Rhinolophus ferrumequinum: one gene and its partners. The protein of the gene in region 2 purifies or fractionates together with the protein of the main gene of each other region. This does not show direct contact. Links are inferred from orthologs where the notes say so. Each region holds a gene or a part of one and is shown on either strand. Other genes may lie near its edges. The genes, in order: TKT, SOD1 and PRDX2.

Evidence for each region.
Region 1: the proteins of SOD1 (region 2) and TKT purify together in Homo sapiens (affinity purification with mass spectrometry; 3 studies listed by BioGRID, with this or other methods). This does not show direct contact. The link is inferred for Rhinolophus ferrumequinum from reciprocal best matches to the Homo sapiens genes SOD1 and TKT.
Region 3: the proteins of SOD1 (region 2) and PRDX2 fractionate together in Homo sapiens (co-fractionation; 3 studies listed by BioGRID, with this or other methods). This does not show direct contact. The link is inferred for Rhinolophus ferrumequinum from reciprocal best matches to the Homo sapiens genes SOD1 and PRDX2.

What each region holds. Positions count from the first base shown.
Region 1 is NC_046300.1:48,695,726-48,702,860, reverse strand, and holds the start of TKT (transketolase), read left to right. Parts: upstream 1-4,055; 5' UTR 4,056-4,177; coding exon 4,178-4,284; intron 4,285-7,135. UniProt on the Homo sapiens protein: Catalyzes the transfer of a two-carbon ketol group from a ketose donor to an aldose acceptor, via a covalent intermediate with the cofactor thiamine pyrophosphate.
Region 2 is NC_046285.1:98,047,322-98,054,424, forward strand, and holds the start of SOD1 (superoxide dismutase [Cu-Zn]), read left to right. Parts: upstream 1-4,103; 5' UTR 4,104-4,184; coding exon 4,185-4,256; intron 4,257-7,103. UniProt on the Homo sapiens protein: Destroys radicals which are normally produced within the cells and which are toxic to biological systems.
Region 3 is NC_046301.1:48,770,407-48,778,085, reverse strand, and holds PRDX2 (peroxiredoxin-2), read right to left. Parts: upstream 3,046-7,679; 5' UTR 2,917-3,045; intron 2,452-2,916; 5' UTR 2,443-2,451; coding exon 2,340-2,442; intron 2,244-2,339; coding exon 2,090-2,243; intron 1,490-2,089; coding exon 1,367-1,489; intron 1,226-1,366; coding exon 1,095-1,225; intron 527-1,094; coding exon 441-526; 3' UTR 199-440; downstream 1-198. Other genes in the region: RNASEH2A (ribonuclease H2 subunit A), read left to right, coding at 5,715-5,841, 6,035-6,106, 6,232-6,358, 6,461-6,548.

The DNA of each region.
Region 1 (7,135 bases), on a different chromosome or scaffold from region 2:
CAACAGGAAGAGACATACCTTGCATCTCTGACAGGAAGTGATCCTACTCTACTACCGCAGGAGGAGGAAGAAAAGATTCCTTCTAGCCCAGTAATAGCTCAGCCAATGGGAGGCTGCTGTAACATTATCAAAAGAAGGATTTCCTGAAAAATGCCTCCTGAAGGAAATTTCGGGCATTGAGAGGAGAGATGGACTTATTAAAACTCAATTAATCAGCGGTAGCCAGTTAGCTCAGTTGTTTAGAGCATGGTGCTAATAACACCAAGGTTGCCGTTCGGTCCCCAGATTGGCCACTATGAGCAGTGCCCTCCTTAAAAAAAAAAGAAAAAAGAAAACTCAATTAATCAACCTACAAGTCCATATAGAGTGGTCACAAGTGGGCACAAGGCTGGAGGCACACTCGCACAGGAGTCTACAGACCTGTAAGCCCTGGATCTGAGTGAAGGAAAGTGCCCTGAGAACCCAGACTGGGATGTTGGCTCCAGTGCAAGCCCTGTGCTGGCTTGGGGCCCCCAGCACCTAGCCCAAGCATGCCCCAAGGGCACACATGTAGGCCGGCCCTGCCAAAGCAATGCCCAGCACTGTCAGTTAGGAACACAGCTGCTCAGGGCCCATTCATGACTCATGGGGGCTCTCCAGGGACGTGAAGGAGGAGCACAGCAGGATAGCTCTGCCCTGAGTTTCTTTCGGACAGCAAAGCAAGAGTAGGAGACCCCACCCACCAGCACCCACCTCCTGGGGGTTTACTCCCAACCCAAACACATCCAGGGCAGCAGCCTGGCTTATGAAACACAGGGGTAGCTTAACATAACCACCAGAAATCAAAAGAAAAAAATGCATTCATAAAAATGCACCCCATCCCCCAATCTCAGCAGTATTTTTTTCAAGATAGAATTTTGTTTTGATTTTTTTTGGATTATAAAAGCCAACACTGTTCACTGGCATTAAATTCCAACAAAAGAGAAATGTGTAAAATAGAAATTAAAAGTCCCCCTCAGTCCCACCATCTAAAGTCCCCCACAGCTTGGAGTGTGTCCCTGCAGCCTCTCTGCTTTGCCCATGCAAACTGATAAACACGCATATACTCTGGCAAACACACGTGCACACACCTGCTTTTATTTATTTTTGACAGAAACAGGATCACACTACCTGCTGTTTCCTGCCTTGCTTTTACTCCATCAACAGTGTATCACATCTTCCCGCCCCACACGGGGCTTTCAGGGCTTTACCTGCCGCTCCACACTCAGCCCTGTGGGACACGCAGCAAGTCATTGAACTCAGGTCCTAAGGGTCTCTCTCCCCAGTATTTTTCCCTGGAGAGTTCTCAGCACCCGCAACAGAATTGCCTGAGAAACGCAGAGTCCTAGGCTTCACCCCAAAAATTCTGATTCAGAAGGTTACGTGTGGTACCCAGGGATCTGTGTATTTAATAACTGCTCAGGCAGCTCTTGTGACCTAGTCAGCTAGGAGACTGTCATGTCTGGTCTTTGAGACCATTAAGGAATTACATTTCCCCACAGGCCCATCTAATTTCATCCCCAAGAGTAAGATCATTTCTGAGGAGGTTTGGTCATCACGCTGATCAGGTAAAATTACTGCTCAGGCCCCCACCAGGCCCTGTCCTCTGCCATCATAGACATTTGGCTGGTGGAACTTCCCACAGGACCATTTCCCAGGCACAGACTTCCCAGTCTAAGGGCATGAGCATTGTGGGGAACCTTCGCATCTGAGGGTCCGGTTGGGTGCCCAGGGCTGAGCAGCAGGAGGAACTGGACCTTGGCTGTGCCCTGTGCCTTAGGTGGGAGAATTTAAGGAAGATTACGTTAAATTGGGATAAAGCAAAGCCGGGATTGGATTACAGAATAGTTAAGATTATGTGCTCTCTTGAGGGTGGTTATCCCTTCGAGGGGTATTACTTCTGGCATTTCAAAGGTGTGTTAGCCTAGATGCATAAGAGCAATGGACAGGGCTTGTTCAAAAACCTTTCACTAAAGAAATTACAGGCATGGGGCGTGACTACCCACCATGATTTTCCCAGTTAGGAATCTAGGATTTATTGCAGCACCTCTTTTTCTTCCACTAGATCCAGGCGGTGTGAAGATTTCAAGAAGGGCATTACTGTCACAGGGAACAGCCTGTGCAAAAGCCTCTAGGCAAAGCAAGCTTAGTGTTTTTCAAGGAAAGCAAGAAGGCCAGTGTGGCTGGAATGGGGTTGTGGGAGTAGACGTAAGTAGAGAGAAATGGGAGAGAGGCGGAGGGCGGGGGGATAGAGCATGCTACCATGGAGGGGCCTGATATTCTAAGGGTGGAGGGAGATCAATGGGAGGTTAGCTGGGCAGGAACAGGGATTCTCTCTGGCAGCCATGGAGAGAGAGGCTCTCAGGGAGGCTGAAAGAGGATGGGGGAAGGGGAGCAGAGGAGCAAGATGGCAGTTTGAAGCCAGGCAGAAAGCCAGCAGGACCCGAGGTCTCCTTCCCAACTGACATGTGATTTATGAGGAGCATGTGGCTGAATAGACTCAGGACCTGGGGACAGGAGTAGTGCCTTGGACAAATAGAGTGTTGACAATACCTCCCGCCAGCCCAGGATTCTGGTTCTGAAGCTGACCTTGGTGAAGGCCAAGAGCTCCTGAAATGTAGCTAAAGCCCAGGATGAATTGGGTCTCATTCACCTGGAACCCCAAGATGAGAAGAAGCTAGAATCAGGGGTCTCTAGATGGAGGGGCATTTTCTTTCCATCACTATGGGGTCCCTAGAGCCAGTGAATCCCATGCCACCATCAGTGACCAGGTTGGGTATAGGGGATCAAGGATTAGTCCCATTGGGCAGGTGGGGAAATTAGGGTTTGTAATAGGAGGCCACTGCTCTAAAGGCCACAGAGTTGGAAGGCACAGAGCTTCCAAATGGTTTCAACGGTGTGTCCTTTTATCACACCTTGAGCAGCCTGAGGACAGAGCTGGCATACCCCAGGGTTACCTCACTCTATCCAGTCTGCAGTGCTGGCTAACTTCGGGCCAGCCTCAGGTGGGCAGGCTTCTGTGGGCTGGGCCAGCAGGAGCCAAGTGCTTGAGGGTCTGGCTGGTATGTGGGAGCCAGGCCAGCAGAGGAGCAGCCAAGGAACACTTGGGGGTGAGGTGGGTGACTCACTCACATCCAGTCCATTGTCCCACATGACCCAGAGCTCTGAATGTGGGCTCTGCAAAGGACACCAAGTGGACACAGGCAGCATCTGGCCCCTGGTGCCTTCCACAGTTCTCTCAGAGGCTCAGCATCAGACAGCTCTGGTGCAGGCCCCTGCTCAGCCACCAGCTCCAGAGGCCTGCCTTTATCTCTCCTTTTTAACATGGAGCTTCCGCCTGTGGAAGATATGGTAAGTGGCATTGACCTCATGGGGCATGTAGGGTGGGTGGATTCCAGTAGACAGTCACTTTGATGATGGTACCCCTAGTCTGGGGACTCCCATCCCTCTGGGGGACAAAGAAGTCTGTTAACAGCGGAGGTGGGCGCTCTCTTGGAGATGGGGCTTGAGGATGGGGCTGGTCTGCTAGGACAGAGCCCCACACCCACCAGCCCTGTGACCTTGTTGACCTTGCCAGTCTCAATGTGCTCATCTGTAAAATGGAATTCCAGTGAAGCCTCCCCTGTCAATTCCACCCAAGGACCTTGGCGGAGGAAGGAGACAGACCAGTCTGCAGTGAAGGTGCAAGTCAAAAGGCAAACTCTGAGCCAAGCCTAGAATCTGGAGTAATTATTTTTATTTGTGTGTTTGGTAATTACCGCGGGGCAGTGCCGCCTGACGCACAGTAGCTCGGCAGCCCGTAGCTGCCGGCAAATGTTGGGGGAGGGAAAAGAAAGGAAGGGGAGTTCGGGCAGGTGAACAGCATCCGGCTGGTTCCGGAGACGCCGGACTGAGCGGCGGCCTCAGTTTCCTGATCAGCGCGGAAGGACTGGAGAACCCGCCGCCCAGGGCAAGGGGGCGGGGCGGGGCGGGGCGGGGCGGGGCTGTCAGCGCGCGGCGGCCTCGGGTGATGCGGCCGCCCCGCCTCCAAGGGCGGGCCCAGGAGTCTTAACGCGCCCCCGCGCGGTACCGGGCTTCGGCCTCTGCCGGTTTTTGCACGAGCCACCTCCTTACTTCTGTGTCTCCGCGTCCTCCAGCCCCCTGCTCGCCCGGCCGCGCTATGGAGGGCTACCATAAGCCTGACCAGCAGAAGCTGCAAGCCCTGAAGGACACCGCCAACCGCCTGCGCATCAGTTCCATCCAGGCCACCACGGCGGCCGGCTCTGGGTGAGCGCCGACCTGGGAAGGGGGCGCCGGCCTCGGCGGAGCTCAGGCTGGGGTGGGGGAGCCGGTTCGGAGGCCGCGGTCGCCGCCAGCACGCCGGCTGCCTGTGGCGCAGCACGGTGCCACCACGAGAGGGGCGGCGAGGGACGGGTCAGGTGGCGGAGGCGCGCGCCTCGCTGGGCCCGGGCCCAAGCCGCCTTCCGCTGCGCCGCGCCGTCTCGGCCGGGCTTCCGCCCTGCTGGCCTCGGCGCCCTGTGCGCCTTAGGCCGTCTCTGCTCTCGTAGTACGATTTCGGCTGCGCTAAGGTGCGGAGGACGAGGCTCGCAAACCGTGCGGCCCCTCTGCGTCCCTGAGGGAAAGGCCACCAGTATTGCGCTCGTGCGGAGCCAGGCCCTGTACCGTGCGCCCTACGCGCGCGGCCCTCTGGACCCTGTCCACGCCCTGTGCGGGGAAACCGAGGCTCCGAGTTTAAGTCAGTTGCCCAAGGTCACTCACGGCGAGAGCTGGAATTTGAACCCAAACTGCCCAACTCGAAAGCGCCTGTTTTAACTCCTCATCTTGCCGGGAGACTCGGCCTGGCCCTCTCCCCACTTCACACTGCCCCGCCCTTTGGCCATCTCACATTCCTGCCACCCTTGGGTTGGAGTCCGAGTTTGCCGCCGGGGATTGCTGAGACTCCGAGCTAGGGAGTGGGGTCGGGGGGAGAGCGGAGGAAGGCAGCCACGTGGATGCAGAACCCTGGCGCCGGAGTGAAAGGGAGCTCTTAGATCTGACCTGGGGCAGGAGGTGGGGGGAGGGGTCAGAGAGCGGGTACTTGGAAGGCCGAGAGAACCGAGGACCGAGCCCCAGGGCTCGGGCAGTAGGAATGCGGTCCTGTGGGCAGGGCCAGCAGCCAGGTGCACTTTCCCCAGGTCAGAGGCTGGGGCACCCATCTCCCAGTGTTCTTTTGGGGCCAGCCCTTCTGGCCGAGAAGGTGCAGAAAGGCTGATGCTGATCCCCAGAGTCCTCCCTTGCAGACGGCTAGTGGCCGGGACAGTGATAATAACAGGGGCCACCATACAGCTGGAGGCCACCGGTGGGGGAGTTAAGGTCAGAGTCTGTCCTGCTCTGAAATGAGAGCAATGGCAGCTCCTACTCACTGGGCTGTTTCAAGGATGCAAGCCTCTCCCTTAGGGCCGGGCATGAGGCTGCACAAACAGGAATACTTTGGGTTCATGAAATGAATTTGGGGGCTGGGTGGGGGGTGATTTCCAAGAACCTTCCCAACCAAGCCGTGTGCTTAGAACAAAGACAAGATGCTAGCTTCTGGACAAGTATATACGGTCAGTATTACTAAGTGCATTCTTTTTTGTACCTCCAGGGTGGGTATGTTCTACCCCTTTGTGCCTGTAAGACATCCAGAGCTCAGAAGGGATTAGACCTCTGTTGGCAGGCCCTTTCCCTTCCACCCCACCCCCGTGCACACTTTGGACCTCTTATCTCTATTGGGTTTGTATCAGTCCTACTCATTGTGTGGGGGCCCCTGCCCTGGCAGGGACCCAGCTTACTTGCCGTGCTCCCTCCCCCAGCCTGGCACACAGTAGGTCTGCACACCCTGTAATGATTCTTGGGTACTACAGGTCCCCTTCTCTTGGCCATTTCTGGGGGTGACTCGCCCTGCAGGGCCTTGTTGAGCCCTACTGTGTGCTAGGAGCTGCTATCGAGCCAGGCTCTTGGGGGTCTAGCTAGAGGGACAGCAGTTACCCAACTAGATGGTGTTATCCCTCTGAGCATCTTGTAGGGCCAGGTGAGACCTGTGGACAGTTACAGGGTTACTGAGCCACACAGGTATCTCTGGTGTGACACAGCATCCTTTATTGCTAGTATTCTCCTGCATTCTGAGAAGAACCCTAGGAGATACGTACTATTTCATACACATTTTATCGATGAGAAAACTAAGGTTAGTGCATTCAGTGACTTGCCCCAGCTGGTCATTGGTGGTGGTTCCATGCTGCCCAGTGAGGGGCGTCTTGCGTTTTCAGAAAGACTTCCTGGGCAGATAAGAAAATGGAGAGAAATTGGAAATGGGGAGATCAGATGCAGTGATGGTAGGTGTCAGTCAGCTTGAAGGCACTTGGAGAGAAATGAAACGTGCAGCTGTTGGGAGATCCCAAAGGGAGGGTGTGTCCAGTGGGTCTCCTGGGTCTTTACTGCCTAGTTAAACTGATTCCTGTGGGGGAAAATACTGTCTGAGAATATAACAACTGAGGCTTTACACTGGGTTTACTTTGTGGTGTCTTACGGAGGAACTCACTGAACTCCAAGTGTCCATTTGCAAAAAGAAAAAGTGTAAAATGTAGTGATTTCTGCGTGTTTGTGAGTGTGTAAAAGATACAGGAAAGAAACACTTAGAGAAAATTTATTTTTCAGGAGGAAGTAACCCTGCTATGCAACCCCTGTCACAAGAGACTTCGAAAGATGTGTGCCAAGAGCTATATGTGTGCGCAAAACTAGTTTTGGAAGACTTGAGTTCAGGGCAGGGTTCCGGTCCCTGGATGTTTGTTTTGAGGCTCCCTGTTTCCTCACCACAGTGGGTGAGTTCCATCCAGTGAAGACTGAGTCCTGACTCCTTGGCCCAGTCTGGGCAGCAGTCACAGCCGAAGTGACCGTCTGTCAGGGTGCCCCCTTTCTGGGCGAGCTTACATCCCTGGTGGTGAAAACAGCACCTAGATCAAGTCTTTTCATTGTCATTCACCCACACCGGCTGGACTCACATTGTTCCATTGAGGACACAGGCTGTCGGGTTCAGAATTCGATGGGGTCCTGATTTCTCAGTAGCTTTCCCATTCCTTTGCCATCACTGACCCCTTGTCAG
Region 2 (7,103 bases):
GCATTGAGAGTCATTATCTCCAAGAAGTCAAAAGGATCCTAAAGTAGCTTAGGTTGTCTTGAGCCTGGGAATATCTCTGTCTCTCTCTCTGTCTCTCTCTGTCTCTCTCTGTCTCTCTCTGTCTGTCTCTCTGTCTCTCTCTCTCTCTCACACACGAATATTATTCAGCCATAAGAAAAAAAAAAAAAGGAAATCTTACCTGTTGTGACAACATGGATGGACCCTGAGGGCATTACGTTAAGGGAAATAAGTACGACAAAGACATACACGTATGATATCACTTACATGTGGAATCTGGAAAAAAAGAGAGAGAGAATTTATAGTTACAGAGAACAAATTGGTGGTTGTCAGAGGTGTTGGGTGGGAAGTGGGGGGTAGGATGGGGGTACGTAAAAAACAAACAAAAAAAAGAATAAATTCTGTCGACAAAAGAACATTCAGCCTATAGAAAAAGTCTTGTAAGAGTTTAATTTGAGCCAAATTTTGAGGACATGCCCGGAAGCAATATCTCAATGGATTGAGAAAATGCTCCAGAGAAGGGCAGTTTGACAGCTTATTTTAGACATTAAAATCAAAAGAGAAGATGTACGGAGGGTTACAAAAAATCCATCGGTAGTAGAATAAGCAGGTAGGAGAAACGCGGGGAAATCTCTGGGGTTGGATAAAAAGCAAAATGCAGAAACATGCTTCTTCTACATGGTGGGCACAGGATATCAATAATTAACATTAAAGCACATAGAGACAGACGGTTTTGGGAAACAAGATAACAATGAGGGGTTCTATGATCTCATGCTCTGGTGGCGACAGTTGTGCATCTGAGGGGTCTGGAAAAGAAAATTACTCTGACATTTCAAAGGCATATTATGCTAGGTGCACAAAGACAGGCTCCCTTTCCGTAAAGATTGACCTTTGTCAAGGGAGCTGCCATCCTAAGATGTGACTACCCACCACAACCCGCTCTAGTTAGGAATTTTTATGTTCAGACCATCCTGTGTTTGAGTTTGTAAGGCCTACCGTGCACGCCACCCACCCACCCAGCTTGTCAGGTTTAGCATGTGCCCCCTTTTTGTTCACAATTCATTAACCTTGCTCTAGAAGGATGGGTAAAGTTTTTGGCTCCACAGATTCTTTCCCCCTTTGGGAATGTGACCTGAGGAGGGACAGAACAGGGCTCTCTAAATGGTGAGGCCCAGGGCCAGGGACCCCCTTGCCCAGGTGTGAGGGCATCACTAGGAATGAACCTCAGGGGTCCTCTAATCCTGCATGACACAAGCCCCTCCTTGCACCCAAACAAGGGGGCTGCCTGGGTCTCACCTGAATATCCTTAAAGAGGAGCAACTTCCTGGCCCAGGGCAGCTCTTTGCATGTGGGCTGCCTCTGGGCAAGAATTCATCATGAACTGAAATCTGATTCTACCTTCCTGAAATCTAAAGAAACTTTGGCCTTGGGCAAAGGCCCTTTGGCTGGCATTGCATATTGATGCAACAATCTAGCATGTGTCCGTTCTCTGGAAAATACTAGTGAGTACAACACTAAGCAAAATCACAAATAGGTACATTTTCAAGAGGGTGATAAAAAACGTGGATTGTATATCTCTGACAGAGGGTGCCTTAGATTCCAAGGGAAGGAGAAGAAGGAAAGAAGGAAGGAAGAAGAGAAAGGAAGAAAGAAAGAAAAAGAAAAGAAGAAAAAGAAAGTGTAGCCTGAACAGCAGCCCTTTGTCCTTTTTTCACTCTGGCCTTGGATTAGCCTCAGTATTTCGCCATCCGCACAGCTCAGTCCTCTCCACTGAGCATTAGAGGGAAATGTGGATTGTGTTGAGTTCTCAGGGAGATGGGGAAGGTTTCAATTCCACAAAGCAAGTGGAACAAATCCCCAGCAGAGAGAACTCTTCTTCCTAAAGTCTGTCCCTGGTCCATGTCTGCTGGTCTCCACATTTCTTTTTAGGACACTTTCCCCTTTTCCTCTTTTGAGTCAAGTAGCTCCAGCTCTTGTCCCCAACTTGCTTATTTCACTGGGCATGAAAAACACCTGCAAGTCAGAGATTCTCAAAGTGAGATCCCAGACCTGGAAACAAGTTAGGAATGTAAATTCTGGGTTCCCACCCCAAACCTACTGAGTAAGAAACATGGCAACCTGAGGCTTAACAAGCCCTCTAAGAGTGTCTAATGCATTTTCCAGATTAAATTGTGCAGTGTCTAATGCACTTCCAGAAACAGTTCAGCCACCTTTGTTATTTAGGCACACCCTGTGGGCACAGCAGATGAAGATTCTTCTCCCCTTTCATGCTCCCTCTCCCTTCAAGGTTTATCAAACTATTCTTCCAACAAAAGTGTGTGTGTGTGTGTGTATGTGTGTGTGTGTGTATTCTCATTGTAAACCATATTGTTGCAGACAAATGCATAGTTCTCTGTAAAAAAATTCTAAGGGGAGAACATTAGTAAAAGTTTGATTCACAATTCCCCAAAGGTATCCATAGTATTCTGCATATCTTTCTAGAGATTTCTAAGCACACAAGTAAATGTATATTTATACTTAAAAAAAAAAAAACCCATAAAGTAGTTCGCTCATTTCTTAATATGTTTTTGGAATATCTTTCTGAAAGAAGTAATGTTCTGGTGTATGGAGGTGTCAACCAGAGTAAATGAAATCAGGCTTTGGCTAGAAATCAATGCTAAAGACTTTTTCAAGGGTCCTATGGCTTGCAAACAGAAAACACAACTACTATGTTTCCCTGAAAATAAGATCTAGCTGGACCATCAGCTGTAATGCGTCTTTTTGGAGCAAAAATTAATATAAGACCTGGTCTTATTTTAATATAATATAAGACCAGGGCTTATATAATGTAGTATAAGACCAGGTCTATAATATAATATAATAATATAATATAATATAATATAATATAATATAATATAAAGACCGGGTCTTACATTAATTTTTGCTCTAAAAGACACATTAGAGCTGATGGTCCGGCTAGGTCTTATTTTCGGGAAAACAGGAAAGGCAGCACCCAGAGTGTTCTGGAGAAGAAAGAAACGCTGAGGGTTCTTATAGTAAAAAGTACATTCTTGAGAAGAATCAGTCCTGCATTCTCAGCCTCTGGATTGGTCCAAGATGATAATCCTATATATGACTGCTAGTCTGGATACTGGATGCCAAGTGGTCTGGATATGTGAACATTGTCTCCTTAGTCCTTCAGGGGGTAACCAGAGGGTTATCTGGAGGTCTGATATACTTACCCACGCATTGAGCAGGACTGGAAAGTTAGCAGTTTAAATTCCCAGGCTACTAGTTAAAAGAACAACAGAATCAAGTCCTCATGCCTCAACCTACTTGATGTTAGTAACTTAGCAGCTTCACTACAGTGACTGCATTTTATTTCTTCGCTCTATTCCTCAGAGGTATCATAAATTATTTACCCATCCTACCTTTCTCCTTGACTGTTGCGGCAGTAGAGTTAGACAAAAAGAGAGATGTGTAGAAGTAAGTCAGCTGACATTTTGATGTTTTTACCTGTGGCCTTCCTTGTCAAACAGGAAAAATTTGAAAAGAATACGGAGTTATGGTAACCAAATAAGTAACTCTATGTGCTGAGAACCAAGGAAACTGCAAGGAAGAAAATGTGAGGCCAGGGATTGAGACGTTTTGCTTTTACACACCCTCAGAGACCCCCACACCAAGACAATTAAAACAATAAAAACTACAAAATCACCCAGCTCCATGCGTCCCCATTTCTGAATAACAAATCAGAAAACGTTATGACCAAAGTCAGTTATTACTAATTTCCAGACGTTTCCAGACAAAGTGACTTCAGATCTCCAAGGCGTGCCACGTATACCTCATTTTCCCAGGGTCGCGTACAGCAATCCACGATTACAATCTTTGGAAGAAAAAGGTTGTTTTTTTCCACAGCTCCAGGTTTCTGGGCGTTTTACAGCCACAGGAAGGAGGGAGCCTGAGGAGCGAAGGACTAAGTTCCGAACGCAACCCTTTGCTTTGGCCCCGCCCCCCATAGGCCCTCCGTTGGGGAGGACAGTGCACGCGGGCGGCGATTGGTTCTGGGCCGGGGGGAGGGCGGGGCGCGGAGGTCTATAAAAATTCCGCAGCGCAGGTCTCTGCGTCGGCGTTTCCTGCAGAGTCTGCGGTTGCCGTTGGATCGCAGGCGAGAGCGTCACCCGCGAGTCATGGCGACCAAGGCTGTGTGCGTGCTGAAGGGCGACGGCCCGGTGCAGGGCACCATCCACTTCGAGGAGAAGGCAAGGGCCGGGGCAGAGGCCGACGGCGAGAGCGTGCCGCGCACCTGTGCTCGGGAGCGGGTGGCAGGCCGGGCCTCGGGCCGCCCTCGCCACGCCCCCGCCGCGCCCGGCCCGCTAGTCCGCGCAGCACGGGGCCTTTGCCCTGCGGCTGTGCTGCGCCTCCGCGCAGCTACTCGCTCGCGGCCGCGGAGCGCTGAGTCACGGGGTGAGCCCGGCAGCAGCGCCGTGCGTGGCGAGGCTGCCGCGGGCCTGGGTGCAGGGCGGGGTGCAGGGCGGGCCGCCCCTGGGGTGCCAACAACCGTGGGCCCGGGAGGGAGGAGAGAAAGCGAGGGAGGAAGATTAGCCGCCCTCAGGGCCTCGGCTACCGCCGCGGCGTCTGTAGGCCAGAGCGGAGAACTTGACGCTTTTGAAAAGGCTTTGGCCCGTTTTTGCGGGGTCATTTTCTGGGTCTTGAGGATCCTGCTCTTCACAGTTGCGCAGTCCAATACTCGGCCCGCCCGTGAGATAGGGTGGCGGTTGCGCCGGGCCGCTGTTTTCGCATCCGTTACCCCTTTAGGGCTTCATATCCGACTTGAGCTCTCTCGTTCGTGGGTTTGCAAACTATGGCGCACGGGCCTCATCCTTTCAGGACCGGAGTTTGTCCAGCCCTGGAGCTAAGTGTTTCTTAGGTGTTTGTTTTGAATATGTTTATGTTTAAAGGGTCGTGAAAACCAAGACTATGCAACAGAATCCGTTTGTGACCCTTTGCAGAAAAGTTTGCTGACGCTTACTCTGGGTCACGGCCAGGCTCCAAGGGCAAAGAAGATGGCCCTAGATAAAGCTCCAAAAGCCAGAGAGATCTAACCAACTCCCTTGTCGGGGGAAGTTTCCAGAGCAGCGATTTTTAACCGTGGGTGCAAAGTAGGCTCATTTGGGGAGCTTTTAAAAAATACAGATACCAGGGCCCAACTCCAGACCAATTATATCAGAATCTGTCAGGTTGCAATCTGAGCGTTGCAATTTTAAAGTTTCCAAAGTTCTAATGTGCATCCAAGATGGAGAATTAACTGTTGGTGGATGGGGTTGGGAGTTGGAAGTTAGACCGGAGTGTTTCTGTTGCATGGAATTTGTCACTTAACTCGTGGAGCATTTGTTTAACCAAATTCTCTGGGAAGTGACTTTGAAATTGCTCTTATCAATAGGCCTGTTACTGAGATGGTAGAAAACAAACTTTGGAACAGGTCTTGTAAAGTATACAGAAATACTCATTAGTGATATTGCACACGTGTTGTAAGGAAGTTGCTTGTGATAAGACTGTCCCCCAAATCTTAGTAAGGGTACCAACTGGTGGAAATTGTTTATGTTGTACTTGGTTTATTATTCGGAGAGATTATTTAATGTATGAGTGAGATTTAGTCTCTAAAGTGGTTTACAGAAAGGTGAGGACAGGAAACGTAATCTAGATAAGTGGTCCATCTATGAAGTTTACACAAAGGAGAACTTACATTTGAGCTTCATTTTTTCCTTTAAGTGGCTTCCAAATTTTCTGGAAAAGGCCCTTTGCGTTTTATTAAGTTTTATTGTTTTTGTTTGCCAGATTTTGTTTTGTCCCTCTCTCCTCCCCACATAATTCACCGATACTAGAGAGTCTAAGAAGCCTCTGAGGTCTCTTCCTCTGGCCACTGAGAAATGGCTCCTGGTGTTACATTCAGAAACCAAGCTGTGCATCCATACAGAACTGCGGTTCCCGGAGTTTTTCCATATTCCCTGAGCAGCTTACATGTCTCCCTCTTAAGTTCCAAACTTCACTTTGGTAGTGCTAATTGTACCGGATAAAGACCCTTGGATAGTTAAGCATTACAGCTCTACAGATATGCAGATGTATTAAATTGGCAATGAACTGTATTTGTTTGGCCTATTGAGTGTTTAAAAATTTGGATTATTTTCCAGTTTTTTTAAATTAGAAAATTTCACCTGTAAGTCCAAATTCCTAGTTTCTCTTGGTGATTTTGGAGACCTGCACATACCAAGCCTTCATTAGCCCAGGACAGCACTATGCTGGACCAGGTTATGTCTGCTTTGCTTCCCTGACCTGTTTTACATGTTCCCAGGAAGCTTACTGTTGAACTAACATGTGCTCTATGCATTACCATTAAATGGAGGTGTGGAACAACCTGCCCTGTTTGTCTCTGTGCTTTGGATAACAGCCTGTTTTGGAGGATAACATTCACATTTGAGTTTTTCCAAAATTAACGGTTGTACTCAGAAGAATCATAGTATATCTGTTTTCAAAAAGAAAAGCAAAAAAAGGCAGGAGTTGCCACACTACTTGATTTTGCAGTGCTATTTACAATGGAAAGTCAGTCTTCAAGGCTAACACCTCTTGCAACTGTGGGCCCTGACTGTTTAAAAGTACAGACAGCATTGTGTGTGTTGCTGTGTGGTGTGGATGCTTGTGTGTATTTTTAGTTCCTAAGATCCCCCTGTGCCTGTAACAGTAATTGCCTCGACTTATGTGTGTAGCCTTGCAACAAACACCATTACCATCACCATTGCCCGTATGGCGATACTTCTGTTACTTTTACCTGCTTTCGTGTTGTCCTTTCTTTTTAGTCTCAGTAGTTAGAGCACAAAGGTTATTGAGGTTTCAATCCCTAAAAAGACTTCAGAAAAAGTATGTCTGGTTAGATTAGATTTGATTATTCTATGCCAGGAGCAGTGGGATAGAACATTTTCTGGCTATGTATCAAAAATACCAATGCTGGAATTATAATGTACACTGAAATATATATGAACTTGTATACCGTTACACACACACACATACCCATAGGGATCCAAGGGTAGGCAGTTGGACATTTCCCATTTCCC
Region 3 (7,679 bases), on a different chromosome or scaffold from region 2:
TTTAGGGTATTGTGGGATTTGTTCCCAGCAGGGGGCAAAAGTCACCCCCCCACACAACTGCTCTGAGGCCAAGGAGTGAGCATGAGGTAAGACTGTCACCTTGTGGTGAAGATAAGTAACTACAGTGTTAGTTTCCCAAGGCCAGAGCCTCGAGGAAAGGGGAAGGGGGGGAACATCAGAACAGAACACACCAACAGATTCATATTTGTCCCTAATACTTTATTGGTCACCTCTAGGCCTGTGCCTCACTAGGTAGGCTCTAGGGAGGGGTTCACCATTCACCACTCAGCTAGGAATACGTGACGGCCATGGCCTAGCCTTCCAGGATCATTGACTGGAACGTGAAGGGGCAGGTCTGGCCTTTCCAGGGCCAGCACAGGGCACCCAGGTGGGGGCACAGGTGGGGACCAAGAGCCCAAGCTTGGCATCCGTCTGCCAGCCTAGTTGTGTTTGGAGAAGTATTCCTTGCTGTCATATACGTTGGGTTTGATTGTGTCACTGCCTGGCTTCCAGCCAGCGGGACAGACTGTGGGAAGACACAAGAATGCACATGTGATGCTACAGCCCCATATTCAAGATAGGGCAGTAGTGAGAGGCAAAGCAAGAGCCCAAATTGCAGAAGAAAAAGCCCACAGCCAAGTGGTCCAGACCCAACACCACACCACATGTTGACAGAAGCCCCCAAGCCCAGGTGCAGGATTTTGGGGCTGATATTTTTATTTCTTTTTAGCCCCATCTTTCTCCCTCAGCCCTCGCCCTACTGGACTTTGAGAGACTGGTCAAGCTGTGCCCTCCATCTGAGAAGGTACTCTGATGCAACTAACATTATTCAAGCCTGCTGTGGCATAAACCTTCTCAAATATCTTCTCTATAAATCTTTATTACCTCCCAGCGCTCCATCCTTATAGTCGGGTTATCTCTCCCACCAGATGAGAAACTTCCTGCAGACAAGGCCCTAAGCTGAATCTTCTTTAGGGTCCTCACATCCATGTCACCCAGGTGATAGAGCAGGCAGTGAATGTCCGCATAAGCGACAGAAAGAGGGGCTGGGTATCTACTCACATATGAACCCCCGTGAATGTGTGCCCACTCACCTTCCCCATGTTCATCTGTGTACTGGAAGGCCTGGACCAGCCTCAGAGCTTCATCCACGGAGCGCCCCACAGGCAAATCATTAATGGTGATCTGGCGAAGGATACCCTTGCCATCGATGATAAAGAGGCCCCTAAAGATATCAGTGTTCACTGTGAGGAGCTGGGAGAACCATCTCTCTGCCAGCCACAGGGCTGGGGGTTGGGAGGGCACCGTCTAAGAGTGGTCCCCTCACCCTGAGGATGGGAGGTGTCCCCTGAGGACCCCATGGTACCTGTAGGCGATGCCTTCATCTTTCTTCAACACGCCATAATCGTGGGACAAGTTTCTGCTTACATCGGCCAGGAGGGGGATGTTCAGGGGGCCCAAGCCTCCCTCTTTCCGGGGGGTGTTAATCCTGGGGGTAGAGGAAACAGGGCTGGGACCTCAGACTGGGATGCCTGGCACCACAGGGTCCTTACCCTGTGGGCCTGGGTGTGATAAGAGCTGGAGAGGGGGTGCTGGAGACAAGAGATAAGGGGCTTTAGAGCAAGGCCCTGGGAGTCCCACCCACCCCACCCTGAAGTGGGTGCAGGGACTGTTTCCCACAGCTGGGAAGGCTAAGCCAATGCGCCTGTTCTAGCAAAGTGGATTCACACGTGCTACAGCCTCACGCATCTTGAAGCAGAGTCCCCATCCTCTTCTCTAGCTGTGTCCTGGGGCCCAGCCCTTGACTCCCTTGAACTGGAGTTGCCACCTTCTTGAACTAGTTCTTGGGAGGGAGGCTGCTTTGCTCAAAGTGAGATAAAAAGCATTTGCAACTCCGCACCAAGCAACTAGTTTCCAAATGCTAATTACTGTCATCATCGTTCAGGACCTGGGCGTCACTTTTCCTTTATTTTAAAGATGAGAAAGGGAGGCGCAGATGTTGAGCAATGGCCACTAGAACACACAGGTCCGACCCTATACAGGTGTAGGCTTGGCTGCACCCTCCCTCCCTGCTGGTCCCCGCTAATACCAAGCCAGGTGGGTGAACTGCGAGTCCACAGAGACCCCCAGCACCTCGCAGCCCAGCTTTCGGAAGTCCTCAGCATGTTCGCTGAAAGCGATGATCTCCGTAGGGCACACAAAAGTGAAGTCCAACGGGTAGAAAAAGAGGACCACGTATTTCCCTGAGGAAGAGGGCAGGAATAGACGAGGAGTGAAGGCCCATCGCCTCGAGTGCCAGGGCGCCACCCCAGTCTGGGCCCCCTCCAGGTCGCCCTCACCTCTGTAGTCGGAAAGCTTCACCTCCTTGAAGGCGCCCTCCACTACGGCGGTGGCCTGGAAGTCCGGGGCGGGCTTTCCGATGTGCGCGTTACCGGCGGCCATGACTGAAAGCTGAGACCCCCACCCCCGGCGCGGTCAGAGCGCCCGGGAAGACCCTTTGTCTCACTTCCCAAGGTCATGTTTCGAGCTGGGCCCGATGACTGAGTCAGATTGGCGGAGGCAGCGGCACTGCCCCGCACCCTCCCTGGTACCCGCTCTGAGCGGCCTTGAGACCACGGGAGACCCGCCCCTCCGGCCAGCGAGAGACACCAGGCCGCAGCCGCTGGGCCCCCATTAGCTTGTCGCCGAGCGCGGTGGCGCTGGCCCACCGCCCCGGGAGGAGCCCCAGCGAGCTGGGAGCCGGGATCCTGGCCATGCGGCCTGCACTCCAAGGCTCTGGCCTCGGTTTCCCCCACCAAGGACAAAGGCGGCCACCACGGCGGGTGGAAAACAAAGGCGGCCAGCGCTGAAGTTTGAAGAGGGCCGAAGCGGCTCCAAGGGGTTCCCCCCAGCCGGGTGCGTTCCAGGTGTCCCTACCTGCGTGGGGAAGGGCGGGACACAAAGAGCAGCGGACCCGTAGACAGCTTCTCAGCACCAAGTGCGCGCAGAGCCGCGGAGCCTTTTATGCGTGGCCGGAACCATGACGCGCAGGGCGGGGGGGGGGGTAGTAGACAAGCAGAGCGGTCGGATCCACTGCCACTGCAGGGGTGGAGGAGAGGAGCCGGCCGGGCCCACGCGCCTGCCGACCGCTGGGGGAGAGGCTCAGCCGCGGGTGGGACCACTGCGCCCGCCCACGGGGACCCCGCGCCGGGCTCAGCCCTGGAGCGCGCCGGGGGACAGTTGGAGTTCCGCATGGCCCGAAGCCCAGAGGCGCTGCTACTGCCGCCTCTGATTCTCCTGCTGCTGGTGACTCCTGCCCAAGTCTCCCCCGATTACCATTACTTCGGTGAAGAGGGCAAAGGCGACACCTGGGAGCAACTGCAGCTGCAGCATCAGGGGAAAGGTAACTGCAGTTCGCGGGTGTGACAGCGCGGAAGGGTGCCCAATCGCTCTATTTTGCCAGCTGGCTACAAACAGACCCTCTTCCGTGGACTTCAAATCTCCGCCCACCTTCGCTCTGGGCTGGTCACTTTTCTCTGAGGCTCAGTTTTCTCATCTGTAAAGTGAAATAGAGACTGCCTTTAAGCAGCTTACATGGTTTTTCCATCTCCGCCCTTCCTACCACCTACCCATGAGTTTATGGATGTGTCTGCTTGGGTCCTGCTCACGTTCTCTCTCCATGTAAACTGCTTAAAGAAGGGGGCAGGTCAGTTTCTGAAGTCAGAGAAGGCCCGGCTGAAGAAGATAGGTAACCAACAGCTGGCTTGACAAGAAAAGCCAAAAATGCAAAGATACAGGGGGAAGAGTGCGCCAGGGAGTTTTGTGTGACGGAGGCTTGATGAGTTGGGACCTGTCTCATAGGGGTTTAGGGAGAAGTCGGGAAAAGAACCCTGTAAAGGGGCGTGGTTAAGCGCTCAATAAGTTGTAGCTGCTTTTAAAAGTGATCACACTCTCTTTTGTTCTACTACTAACACAGCGTCAGGGGCTTTAAGTATCTTTATTGTGCCAATTATGTCATTTAATTTACCACTTGACAGAACTGCTAGTCAGGTGGCACTGTGGCCACTGGACAGGCTCGTGATCTCGGAAGACAAGAGTCAGCTTCGGATAGTGGGCACCAAGGGTGTTGTACCACAGCCCCAACTTGGTAGGCTGTCATAGATGGGACGTGTCAGTTTGCAGTTCCTCTGGGCCACTCACCAGATGCGTGAGCTCGGAATGGTGCCTTGCTCTTTCTAGGTCTCAGTTTCACAACCTGGGACTAATGAGCAGATTCAGTTAGATCATCTATGGCAGGGTGCCTGGCGCAGAGGCATAGCCCTGCAAACATGAGCTGTTGCTGTTACGGTAGTGTCTTTATCCTCCTCCCCTCTTAGAGGAGAGCTTGGCGGGTAGGTTCCCCACCACCACCTGGCCCTCCATCCCTAGACGTGGAGGACTCACTCCTTGGCCCGTGGGGAAAGTGGCTCTGTCTTTGCGACCTGGGCAAGCAGGAGCGCAGCCGAGAGGTGCTGGGCACGGCGCCGGGCCCGGTGTTCATGGACCGCGAGAACCTGGTGCAAGTGCGGCCCTGCGGGCAACGGGATTGTTCCTCCTGCAAGCCCATCGACTGCGACTGGAGGCCCTGAGCCCGGGTGACAGACGGGCGCAGAGGAGGCTGGACCGGTGCGGGCTGGCAAGTCCTCTGGGTGGGCGGGAAGATAGAAAGGGCTGTGTGAGTGGTGGGGGGGCGCGTAGGAGGCGGGCACCTGGAAGGAAGAACTGGCGTCCTAAGCCTGGGGCTTGAGGGTGGTGTGGGGAGAAGAGAGCTGAGCCCGGAGATGTGAGCACCGCTGACATCCGAGGACAAAGGAAGAAAGATGGCGGGGTACGGGGAGGGGGAAACGGAGATGGAGGAGCTGTGACCCTGTGGAAGGGTCATGAGCTTGGTGAAGGCCAGGGACCCACAGGCAGAGGACGAGAGCCCCGCTGAGACCAGGGAATAAGATGCGGGGAGAGAAAGAGAAGGGCGGGGTGGGGGGTGGGGATAGGACATGAACCCAGAGATGGGGAGAATAAGTCTGCGTAGTGGACAAAGACTGAGCAAGGAGTCTGTTGAGGTCTTGAGATCTCAGACCTCGGTTGGAAGGAAGGGGAGGCTTAGCCGGAATGAAAGAGAGGATAGGAAGAGGCGGGGCAGTGGAGATGCGGTTGAGGTACTGAGAGGGAGTTGGGGGGACCCCATCTCCGAAGGCTTGAGCGTAGTGGGATCAGAGATACCTAGTCCAGGGTGCTTAGACTATGTGGAGTGTAAGGATCGCGGGTGCAAATGGCCTCTAGAGCCCAGGTAGGGGACGGGGACCCAGTGATGCGAACCCTCGAATTCTGGGAGTGTAGTGGTATTTCACCTTCTAGACCCTGACTGGGCGGGTCCTCAATGGCCCGCCTCAGTTCCTCGTTTATTTTCCTCTCCTGTCACCAGCTCCAGAAACCCCGGAGCGGAGCTTCGAAAGCGACCCCGCCCACCCGTTACCCAAACTTTGAGCTAGGCAGTGGGCCTCGAGAACTACAATTCCCAGAAAGCGGCACGGCAACGGCGTCGGCTTCGTAAACGTCAACGGCGGCGGGAGCGTCGGGGGCGTGTCCTGTGCTCCGATTGGCCGGGAGCGGAGCCACCGAGGAGCTCCCGAAAAACGCGCGCCTAAGCTGCGCCTTCAGACCTCGTTTCTGTGGCTGGTGGCGGCGACCAAAGTGGCATGGATCTCAGCGAGCTGGAGAGAGACAATACGGGCCGCTGTCGCCTGAACTCGCCTGTGCCCGCGGTGTGCCGCAAGGCACCCTGCGCCCTGGGCGTCGATGAAGCGGGCCGGGGCCCTGTGCTGGGTGCGCCTCCAGGGCCGGGGTGGGGGAAGCACATGATAAGGGGGATGCAAATTGCCCAGGAATGGGAGCCGGGATTGTACCGGATTTGGGGTGGGGGGTGGTGATAGTGGTGATGGCACCGGAAAAAGCGGTGATGATGAAACAGGGAAGGCGGCTTTCACGGGCTCACTGGTTGGATCCCCACTTCCCCCAGGCCCCATGGTCTACGCCATCTGTTATTGCCCTCTGTCGCGCCTGACAGATCTGGAGGCCCTGAAAGTAGCAGGTGAGCCTGATGTGTACATCTGAGAAGGGGGTTCCTGGAAATGTGCAGGGGGCGGGTGCAAACTGGAGAGAGAGAGCAGGAGTTGGGAGAACCAGCCACTCCTTCTCTCCCAACCCATCTCCCAGACTCAAAGACTCTGTCGGAGAGCGAGCGGGACAGGCTCTTTGCGAAAATGGAGGAGGACGGGGACTTTGTGGGCTGGGCACTGGACGTGCTTTCTCCGAACCTCATCTCTACCAGCATGCTTGGGCGGTGAGGGATCCCCGGAGGGGCCGTGGTGGAGGGGCAGCCAGCATGGGCTGGCAGGGATCCGTGGCTGGAACGGGGTTGACTGGGCTCTGTCTCCCACTGCAGGGTCAAATACAACCTGAACTCCATGTCCCACGATACAGCTGCTGGGCTGGTGCAGTATGCGTTGGACCAGGGTGTGAAAGTCGCTCAGGTGAGCTAACTGTTGGGTAGCCCCCATTTAATCACCTCGGGATAAAATGGAGGTATGAGTGCAGTGGGCGATTCACTGTCAGACATATCTGTAGTACCTCAGGAATATTTGTTGCTCCTGTTGACTTCCTACTGCTTTTCCTACCCCAAAAGTATGCCCCACTAAGGACCATAGTGGGGCCCCAGCCCCACCCCCATCCCCACCTATCTCTGTATCCTAAAGGCTTAGTGTCCAGAACAAATCACACATCTGTCTACCTGCCCTAGCCCAGGGCACCCTCCCCTCCTGGACACCTGCCTCATGCTCTTCTCTGGTCCCCCCACCTCCAGCCCCCTCCCCTACCGTCTGCTCCCAACACAGTAGCAGCAGATAGTCATCTTTTTGAAATGTAAATGTCAACATTTAATTTTCTGATCACAGTGAGAATTAAATAAGGAAAACTCACACTCAAAGGGAGGAGAATGAGATTAAATTACAGTAGAGAAATATAAGATGGCATGGCATGGAGTGTTCTGAGGCAAAGAACGAGCTGTTTTGAGAGAATGACAAAGACAAATACACTTGAAAAAGGGAATGGAACAAGGGAGGTCTTGCTGAGGAGGTGGCTGAGGTCCAGGACTGGGTGTGGAGCTGGCAGCGCAGTGCTAGAGGGCTGGCAAGGGCGCTGGCCTCACGGGTTCGTGGCCATGTCAGGGGACACAGATGGTGAGCTGGTAAGCAAATAAAGCTGATTTCTAAGAACAGTAACTGCTATGGAGATCACTTTCCCTGCTACCTTCCCTGACCTAGCCATGGGGCCTCCCTACTGCTGTGTAGCATACTGGAAATGGTCCCAGCTCAGGGCCTTTGCACTGGCTGTTTCCTCTGCCTAGAATGCTTTTCCAGACCTCCAAATGACTGGGTCCTTCATCTCTTGCAGTCCTTTATTCAAATGTCACCACCTCAGAATGACCTTTCCTGAACCTTCCCAACCCCCACCCTCGTTTAAAATGATAACGTTTTCTGATTCTCCCCTATCCTTTATTATTTACCCTGTTTCTTGTCTGTGGCCCTCGCCAGGGTGTTCCACTCCAGGAGAACACGGATTTTTGTCTGATGTGTTCACTGCCATGTTCCTGGCATCTAGTGTAT